2 linked regions of the Kluyveromyces lactis genome follow. The protein of the gene in region 2 purifies or fractionates together with the protein of the main gene of each other region. This does not show direct contact. Links are inferred from orthologs where the notes say so. Each region holds a gene or a part of one and is shown on either strand. Other genes may lie near its edges.

Region 1 (4,564 bases), on a different chromosome or scaffold from region 2:
GGTGGAGGATTAGATAACTTGATAATAGACGCTGATGATCCTTTCAATACCGGTAATGAAGAAGAAAACGATGACAACGAACTTTCCCAACTATCTGGCGCATCTTCGCCAGGTTATTCACGGTCGAGTACTCTCACTCCTAAGAAAAATAGTTCACACTCATCTGATGCGTCTCTACTAAACGGATCTAGGCGATTGCAATCACCAGCGAAAGTGATGGTAACGACAGATGAAAATAAAGATAAAGATGATAACTCCGCTCATGAACATAACAACAGCAACTCCCCTAGTTTCCACTCCGAAAATCAGACAGAATCTGGGACTGATAACTCTGAAGATGCAGAAAATGACGACGGGGATGATAATTTCGATAACTCATTTTCTTTACCATTAACTAGTGCTTCGAATAACAAAGAAGTAAATAACTCGGATTCTAAGGATATTGTACTAGGGACTGATGATGTTATGAAATCTACCAGTGAACTGAATATTGACGATCAATCAAGTATTATTTCTCCCAGTTTGTGATTGAGGTATCCAAAAATGTAAAGCGGATCATGATTGATGAATGTTTTTGACATAATTGGGAATAAATATATGTAATTTTGTAACACTATAAAATGATAAAAAAAAACAGAGTCATAACAGATCACCAAATTGGTATATGCCCCATCCAAGGCTCCCTTGGCATTTGTTGTACAATTCTTTAACATTTAAATCGTCTTCTGTAGGTTCCGCAGCGCCAAGTGCTACAATTATAGGCACGAAATGATCCAAAGTTGGATGAGCTTTAAACAATAGCTCCTTACTCTTACCATCAGTAAAAAACGCCTTGAATTTATCCAGTTTATTATGCTGCTTCGTTAATAGGATATCGTTGAGAACTGACGTAAATTCTTCACTGTAATGTTTGCTACCAGCAGATCCCATATCACGTAAATTATGGACACTCATTCCACTTGTTAAAACTATACCACCCTTAGAACGATATTCTGAAAGAATTTGACCCAATTTGTATTGACTATCAAAATCGAGATCGTTACGGGTCAATGAAACTTGCACCAATGGAATATTATGTTGCACTAGCTCATCATTAGGAAATGCCACTTTCAATGGGACCCACACCCCATGATCAATGCCACGTTCCGTCAATTTGGCCCTTAAACCTGTTTCTGAATGATTGATAGTATTGACTATCTCCTTAGCAAGTGACAAATCATTCTCTGAGCGGAAGGTTTCGTGGTACATGTACTCAGGGAATCCGTAGAAATCATAAATCAACTCGTTTTGTAAACCTTGTTGTAAACTTTTCGGGACAGCAACTTCAATTAGATTGTCAGCTTTGGATTGCCAATGAGCACTCACGTATACAATAAATTTGGGTTTGATATCCTGAATAATTGTTTGGCCAACATTTGCGACAGTTTGGAAAGCGCCAAAATCTCCCCCAAAGATGTCCTTATCCTTTTCGGAATACATGAACGTCGGACCACCATGGGAAAGGAAAAATACGGGAGTTGCGGCTCCAACAGTGCTTGGTGATAATGACATTGCTACAGGTTTTATACTTTGTCTGAATATATTATTGAACCAACTCATAAAAGGAATATTCAAGATTCTGATTCTTGATATCTTTCTTTCATTACAAACGTATCATCTAATTAATGCATTCATTCAATACAACAGTGAAATTAAGATAGCGCATTGATTGTAATTGATGAGACTGTTAGTGATATGCACACATTTATATATGTTAAAATATATACCAGCCGATATTTCAACACTGATCTTTCGATTATTAATTTTTAAAAATTACCTTAGTCCAAAATAGCTCTCGTTAGTCATTTTATTAAGGCCTTACTAAATTTTTCACCACTTGATTTGTCAATACGAAGACAATCTGCGGTCAGAACGAGTCAGCTCTTTAGCGGTAAATTGGAATGTCTGCAGGGGTATGTGCAGTGGTGTATGCAGTGGTATTATAAACGGTATATGTCATTAAATGATGTCCTGTACTATTGTGCCAGGAATCAAGAATTATTCATTCTCACTCTACATGCCTAAAATATTGCCTACGACGTCTTATGTTGGGTAAAAAAGATACGAGGTCACGTGGTGGTAAGTCAATATCATGTCTTGCACCTACCAAAATTTGTACCAAGGTTTACTGTTTCTAGAGCCCTCTTCCCATTCCTTCTTGACTGTATCTATATTCTTAACCTGTTTCAGCATTGGTTTCTCCTTTGCTGCAACAGTCTGTTTGGCCATTGCTGCCACTTGGAAGCTTCGTCTACGACGCATGCGACATTGCTCCCATCCTACAATGGATCCAAGTATGAAACCTCCTACACCCCAATTTGCCGCACGAGCAGGATTCTTATGGTACAAGAACATCACTGATCCGACAACAAACATCGATGTAAACCCTCCGATCCCTGCGTCTCTGAAACATGGAATTGACAGTACCTTTTCGACACTGAAATCTTTCACGTCTATCGTATTCCATGCCTCTTTCAAAGACGCACGTTCCTGCTCTCGAGCAGCCATACTACTGGACTCATTATTGAATTTGGGTTTTGTATCCTCAAATAGAAACTTCTGTCCTTTAGCATAATTCGTTAATTGCTGTTCCTCTGATATACTCCTTTCCACCTCGGTACTTGCTTCTTGCGTTTTACTCTTAGAAAATGGCCACACCATGTTTGCGCTCTGAATATTAAAATATCAATTCAACGGGAGTTTATATTACTTGACAGCTACCTAGGTTAGCTTAATGAAGATCTCAATTGCTGCTTACTTGTCAACGCTTTTAGCATCATCTCATCTTATAATCTTAGTTTGTCAATCAGTTTTCCTACAGACACAACTTTTTCCAAACCGAAAAATAATTGAAAAATATGGAATATTTGGGAAGCGTCAGTATTTAATCATAAAATCAGAAGGTACTTGGAAATTCTTGACCTAAGTGACTTTTTAAACAGTGAAACTATAGCAAGTCTCTGGAAATGCATTCCTAGTTTGTCTTGAACATATTAAACTGACACAATATGTACATTTATTTATCCGTTCTATATTTAAAAGTCGCTTTCTGCGATTCATATGTACTGTCGCAGTAGAAATGAAAAAAAGGCGACAGAATCCGATACTCTGAAAATCAGTAAAATAATGGTAAATTGAATTAATCTGAAACGATGAGTTGCAACAAAAATACAGTGGCCGTTAAGCATTTCAACTAGGCTTCTGGAAACACTGCCCTCTGGTATCAGCTTGAGTCTGTGGGTAAGTGAGTTGCTCTGCAAGTAGTATTGGATTCGAAAGCGTTTGCACGGAAGAAATTCGTAGAAAGGATAGGACATTGGTAAATCGTTCTCTTGAGAGAAATAGAATGGATAACAACCGACAAAGAAACGCGTATGGCAACTACATAAACATGTACCCGCCAGGTCACGAGCCAAGTAAGAATACACCATATCCGGTTGATGATCTGCCCCAGAATCATGTTGCAGATACGAATATTCCATACCAAATGTATGAGAAAGATACAAGACAAAGCTCCCAGTCAACGGTAACGACGCCAGTATCACGACAACCACCACCGGCGCAGCAAGTCAGCATACCCAAAGTGGATAACCCGCCTAGCAGTGCTAAGAGTGAACGGGATCTTTCAAATTACTCTTCCGAGGCTGTCGCGTTTTATGAAGCATATGACAGAACCGTCAAGGACGCAAACAAGTTTACGAAGGATATCCAGTTGAAATGGTGCGAGACACTGTTGCAATATGCGTTCAAGCCCACTTTCTTAATCAGATACAATATCAATGCTGAAAAGTTGAAACGGGATTTAACTGAGACCGAAATGCTACAGAATAAAAGGACCATTTTAGAGCATGCGTTACGCGTGTTAACGAAACTAACTCAGTTAAACTATTCACCAGCGATCTACCTATTAGGGACACTTTATTCCCACCACCCTTACGTAGATATTCCAAGGCCCATGGATATCGTGTCTAAGAATGATGCAAAAGCTCTAGACTACTATCGCAGAGCAGCCGATATGGGTCATAAGGATGCCATGTATCGGACCAGTGTCAGCTACGAGTACGGACGTGGAGTAGATTACACAACTGTGAGTGAATACGAAGCTTTAAAGATTTCACAGAAGTACTATGAAATGGCAGCTTTGACCAATGGACATTCTGTATCCATGTACAAGCTCGGGATGTTCTATTTGAAAGGACTGAGAACGAAATCTGGTGAAATCGTTATCAAAAGAGACCCTGTACAAGCTTTATACTGGTTTAGAATGGCTACCAAGGAGATCGAAATCCCACGAGACGATAAGGCTCATGTAGAACTGGAATCAGTATCGCCACAAGCGATGGTTGAGTTGGGTAAGATTTACGGATTTGAAGAGTTAGACGAATCCGTTAGACAAGAGCTTCTGAGAAACGGAATCACTCAAGATAAGGAAAAATCGATCAAATACTATTATAGATGCGCCCATGACTTCGATTATTCTCAAGCCCAATACAAATTGGGTCATTTTTATGAATTTGGGGAGATG
Region 2 (5,871 bases):
GAGTTCTTAAATCGTACAATTTACCACAATAACTGAAAATGGATTTAGTAGAAAAAATGTGTATTAAGGCAACTAACCTCCATCCCTAGTCTTGTCAACAATATTTGCAGAAAGAGATAAGATTGCAAGATAGTTAACTACCAGCAGAGAAAATATTCAACAGTCAGAATGCGAGGTATCTTGACTCTTTTTGTTATTTGGCTTCATTTTGTTTATCCTGTCATATGTACTGAATACCTTGTTAGCTTGAAGACTCCAAGAGCTTTAAGGTATGTTTTCAACTTTAAAATCGGCGGGTCCAGTGTCAAGGAATTGATAGAATCGAAGATCCACAGAGAATTCTCATTCGGTAAGTTCAATGCCATTTCTGTTGATATTCCTCCTGTTCTAGCGGATAAGTTGAAAGATGTACCATTTATAAGTGATGTTGTGGCTAATGTGAAGATTAGTTTGTTCGATGAGTTCCCACAAATCGCTTCAGGATTAAACAATGATCAATATGACTTCGAAACTGAAGATGAGGAAGAGGCAGAAGAAGATGAGGGGAGTGATACTTATGAAGATGATGATAATTACGACGAGGATACAGACAATGGAGATACCGATTTTAGCGATGACTTCATCTCACAATCTCGAGCTCCAAGACATCTAGCAAGAATTTCTCGAAGAGCACAGTTACCAGTCATCGAGAAAGATGATACCTCATCTGGATTGAAATACCATTACCATGAAGAACACCAGGGTGAAGGGGTTTTCGTTTATGTACTTGATAGTGGAGTTAATCATGACCATCCCGATTTCGAAGGAAGGGCTATGAAAGGTATTGATACTACTGGAGAAGGCTCCGGAGATCTCGTAGGACATGGTACCCATGTTGCAGGTTTAATCGGTTCCAAGACTTATGGAGTGGCCAAGAAAGTTAATATTGTTGAAGTGAAGGTCCTAGATTCCATGGGAAAAGGCACTGTCACAAATATCATCGAAGGATTGGAATATGTCGTGAACCAATGCATCGGAAAGAAGAGAAAATGTGTCATAAACATGAGTCTCGGTGCACCAGGAACCCATTCGATTTTAGATAAAGCTGTTTCAGCAGTAATCGAAGAGGGTGTCGTGGTTGTTGTTGCTGGAGGAAACAGTGGATTGAACGCATGTTGGTACAGTCCTGCTAAGGTCAGGAAAGCAATTACTGTGGCTGCAATGGACGATAGAACCGATCTAATGGCACCATTCTCAAACTGGGGCGCTTGTATTGATATATGGGCTCCTGGTGTCAACGTGAAATCCCTTTCCAATAAAGGCCGGGGCACTTTTGTATTGAGTGGAACATCAATGGCATCTCCAATAGTAGCAGGTGCAGCTGCCATCTATTTGGATCAAGGTGCAGACCCTGCTGAAGTGAGAAAGATATTGAGTAAGACTGCTACGAGAGGTGTTTTCAAGAAGAGAGCTATTGCTGTAAGACCAAGAACTCCAAATAAGGTTCTCTATACAGGAAACAATCAAGAGGATGATGAATTTGCTTACGCAGTTTACCCGATGATTGATGAGATAAAATTCATGGATCAGTTAAAGCAAGCTACAAGTCGAGTGAAACCGCCAAGTGGCGAGATGATTAATCTAGTAACACATGATAGAAAGATACTTAAACCACGATTGAGTAAGTTCCTAAAAAAAGTGAGTAACAATTCTTAATATATTGACATACATAATATACACTTTGTTTTCGTTTTAGAGCAAGAAATCGTTTCGTTTCGTTTCGTTTCGTTTCAGGAAGACACATGCCCTTTTATTCACATGATATTAATTTATGAGCAAACTAGTGATGAAGTGTCTTCCTTCGTTAGACCATTTCGTTGTAAGTTCGTCACAAATGCTGTTATAATTTGTTATAATTGCTAGAGTACCAGCAAGGCCCGCCTGGAGAGGCAGATAATAGAAAAGAAAAATATTGACGAAAGATGACTTTATTAAAATATATACAAGACCATGTATCTCTAAACAAGCTGCTGCTTTATTTCTAGCTCACTCTTTGATGCTTGATTTCAGATATCGACAGTCTCAAGAATGGTGTAGAAAATGGTAATGGAGTAGGAAAACATGCATGGCGAGAATGGTGCTGTGGTGGAACATAGCATGAATTTGCTAAAATTGTCATCATATTGTACATTATACGAAAGGGGAATTCAACATGCAAACGTAAGATAAAATTGGATGAAATGGGCGGTCAGTAAATACGAGACATTAGGGGCATATTTCACATTTGAAACAGGATCCTCATGCAAACCATTTCTAAGACCCAATGTAATAGTAGTGTAGAATGAAAGGAAACGAAAAAAAAAGTTTATCGTGTGTTTATATATCCACAGGTTTATCCTTTTCTTTCTTTCAACTTATAAGATTACAGACTTGATACCGCACCATCCTGCAGCAGCAGCAGCCATCAAAGCGGATGCGTAACCCATTGGTTTCAATCCTCTAGAAGATCTGAAAATAGCACCAGTTAAAGCACCAGCTGCCACTGAGCCAGCAACATCATGCTTACCTCTGAAAGAATCGATCACTGAGTTGATCAAGTTGTAAGTTAAGGCCAACACACCAGCATTGTTACCCAAAAATGGACCTCTTCTTGTGATATGGTTTAATACTGTATTCAATTGCAATTTACCTGGTGAGTTAGGTGGGATGTTCTTCAACCCTTCAATGAACCCATAAGAACCACCAAGACCTAAACCAACCAAGTATACAGCACCAGTACCGTAACATAAATCGTCTGTCCAACCTCTAGATGGAATCAAACCTTGAGAACCTTCCATTGAAGAAAGCTGTTCTTCTTCCAAATCCATATACTCAACACCACGCTCTAGCCCTGCTAATGGGTGAAGCTGTGATGGACTTAATCCTCCTGGAACAGAAATAACGTTCGACACATTCGAAATTGATGATGGATCGAATCCTAGAGTTTGTTTCAGTTTATCATCATTTTGTTCAACTGGTGTAGTATTTTCTTGTGAGTCTGTAGATGACTTCTTACCACCGAAGAGCCAAGACATAGCTATACTTTATTATTATTATTATTAGCCTTAGTTTATATGGTATCGGTCAAAGGATGAAAAATCAGGAAGAGATTAGACCCGGTCCGTATTCGACAATAATGAAGCCCTGTATTTATCGGAGTATTGCCTTGATAGACTGAAATGCAATGGTAACCTAGCAAAATACCAATACGGAAAAGATGTCTTTGTCTTAGTATCTACAACTCAAACCTTCGAGGGTGATTCAACGTATCATACTACTACTTTAAACACTTTTCGATTGTAAAATTATATTTCACTAATTTTTCAAAATTTCAAAATATTTCAAGAACTACGGTTTTTTTTTTCTTCCTCTTGTTTCTTCTTGCTTCACAAGAGACTCTGTGATTTCAAGACCATTCAAGGTAAAATCAACGAATCGTACAAAATGATGATTCATGTAACCGGAACCGTTCTGCAGATGTAGCTGACCTCTGTTTTGAGCGCAGCGAAGGGTAAACAGAGAGAAAAAAATTTGTCATTTCATTTAGCATTTCTAGCGACAAAAAAAATATTTAAAACTGACGCCCGCCATGAGACAATGTTATTTCACACGACATTGCAAAAGTTATCACTGGGTTTCCAAACAGATATCAACTGAGGTATCTTTGGATGAAACTTTACCTACGCAGATTGATAGAAATCTGTAAAAAGGAGCGCATTGCCCTTAAATTCGTACAAAGAATACAAAGGAAAATTGGGGATTTGTTAGGAAACGACTTTTCTGAAATTATACATTTTCAAACCAGTATATATATATAAAGGGATCCGTATAAACCTTTCATATCAATGTACTGTCGCTAATGTTTTTTTTTAAAATCGCCTGGGATAATTTGTGAAAGCATTTCAGATACTAAGGTAGCATACATGCACTAACGCATTTCAAGGCTTCACACTTTTGAATAAACATAAATTTAATATAAAGAGTGCAGTTTTACATGAAAAGGACGCTGGAACATATGTCAGTCTGCCCCTCAGAAAAACTCCGATGAATAATTTAGAGAATCATCAATTTTCATTCTCTGATGATTTGTTACACTGTGATTACACGATAAAACACAAGCTGTTAACCCGCTTTATGACGAAAAGTTTCACCCAGTGATTGAAATACAAACAAAAAATGGCAGAACGTAGTGCTAGAGTCCAATTTGATTTGTTCGAGTCCGAAAAAGTGTTGTTGCGACACAAATGGATCAGAATATTAGAGGAGATTGACTCCGAAGTCTCAGTGACGCTTGGATTTGATCTATACAATACTAAGAAAGAGGATACGAAGTTGCACCACTGCGAGTTGAAGAAGGTGAACCAAATGAGAGTCGGTTACGACGAGTTCCTATTGAAGAAAATTAAGGAAGCTGGAATACAAAATGCGAAATGATTTCTATCAATCTAAATTTTCATTCCAACAGCTGCTCACCCCTTGTATGCTTAACGCTTTTTTCTATACCGTTGTAACAATTTGTCTATAACTTAACTATCTTTCTCTCATGTCAGTCAGTTTATACTATTTCCGCTTTTTTTTTTCTGACGTCTTGTAGTCGCAAACCACAAGAAACCGCAAGTCACGTGATCTCAAACCCTCATCTATCGCTAATCTATTCTAAAATCCAATCGTTGCAGCTTTCACATAAATAACCGCTGTATATCAACCGAATACAACTACTCCATTTCCTTCATTCAAAGATTTGTTCCCTTAAAACGCCAAACGTTCTTTCAGTCTAAAACCAAGCGCATTGCGGTTAATTGCTATTATCTGCCCAGATATAACACACTTCTTATCCTAAATTCTGTTGCATACCGTTGCTGTCAACGTGACGTGTACCAAATTGTTGGTACATGAATCATCTTGAACGACCACGGATAGTATGAACTTATGGGATCTTTATGAAATGTTCTACAGAAAAACAAAAATCCAACAACGATCCCAACAAGTTTTCAAACTTTTTCTTTCCCAAAAAAAAAATAGTGCTATGAAATTTCAAGTATGGTGAAATCACCACATCGTTTGGATGAAATGCCTAGACTGGGATGTAGAATGGATAGAACCAAGTTTTTTTTTTTTTTCTCTTCTCATCTTTTTGTTTGTTTTGTTAGTTTAGTTGAAATTTTGTCTAGATGAAGTGAAATGCACTCGGCGGCTTTTTATAAAGAAGAGGTTTTCCTGCTATTTTTTTCAAGCAAAGGGGTTTAAATAAACTTCGTGAATTTAAATTATATCAATTCTCTAAATCTTCTTAGGTTTTTATACATTGTATTTTCTGTCTTTCTGAAACCTCTTGACTCACTTTCAATTGATCAGTACTCTGTGGAAACTCATCAAGAGAAAGGGCTAACTAGAAGAGATAAGATATTTTAAAGATATCCAAGGAATAATTTTAGTTTGAAACTGAATTACTCAATATACACAACAAACAACAACAACAACTTGTATTGAGAATATTTATTTGTTCATCCTATCATATTCATTCTGATTTCCTGTTAATATTGACAATAGGAGTTTCACACAATTAAATCTGTCCCTTTTTGAGTACAACTATTACTAAAAGGTCATCAGCCCTCTGACAATTAATATCTGGATATTGCGTCAATTGTATTGAACGCATTTGCCTAGTAATACTATTTTTTTACCCTTCACGATTTTAATTTTGAGGTTATAAAGTTTAAAGAGACTTTTTTGTCCGTGAAAAGATGTATGTATAAACTAAACTAAACTATTACTAATAATGAAAACCTCTTTGGAGTTTATTTTTTGACAAGTTGAGATTGACATTGGAAACAAAGAATTACTGGAACCGCC

Evidence for each region.
Region 1: the proteins of TIM23 (region 2) and COX20 purify together in Saccharomyces cerevisiae (affinity purification with mass spectrometry; 3 studies listed by BioGRID). This does not show direct contact. The link is inferred for Kluyveromyces lactis from reciprocal best matches to the Saccharomyces cerevisiae genes TIM23 and COX20.

What each region holds. Positions count from the first base shown.
Region 1 is NC_006039.1:1,305,911-1,310,474, forward strand, and holds COX20 (Cox20p), read right to left. Parts: upstream 2,701-4,564; coding exon 2,143-2,700; downstream 1-2,142. Other genes in the region: IVY1 (Ivy1p), read left to right, coding at 1-528; KLLA0_C14993g (DODA-type extradiol aromatic ring-opening family dioxygenase), read right to left, coding at 640-1,599; ACK1 (Ack1p), read left to right, coding at 3,386-4,564. UniProt on the Saccharomyces cerevisiae protein: Involved in the assembly of the cytochrome oxidase complex. Required for the maturation and subsequent assembly of the mitochondrially encoded COX2, the precursor of subunit 2 of cytochrome oxidase.
Region 2 is NC_006042.1:576,519-582,389, forward strand, and holds TIM23 (protein transporter TIM23), read right to left. Parts: upstream 3,054-5,871; coding exon 2,394-3,053; downstream 1-2,393. Other genes in the region: RRT12 (Rrt12p), read left to right, coding at 169-1,695; KLLA0_F06061g (uncharacterized protein), read left to right, coding at 4,195-4,452. UniProt on the Saccharomyces cerevisiae protein: Essential component of the TIM23 complex, a complex that mediates the translocation of transit peptide-containing proteins across the mitochondrial inner membrane.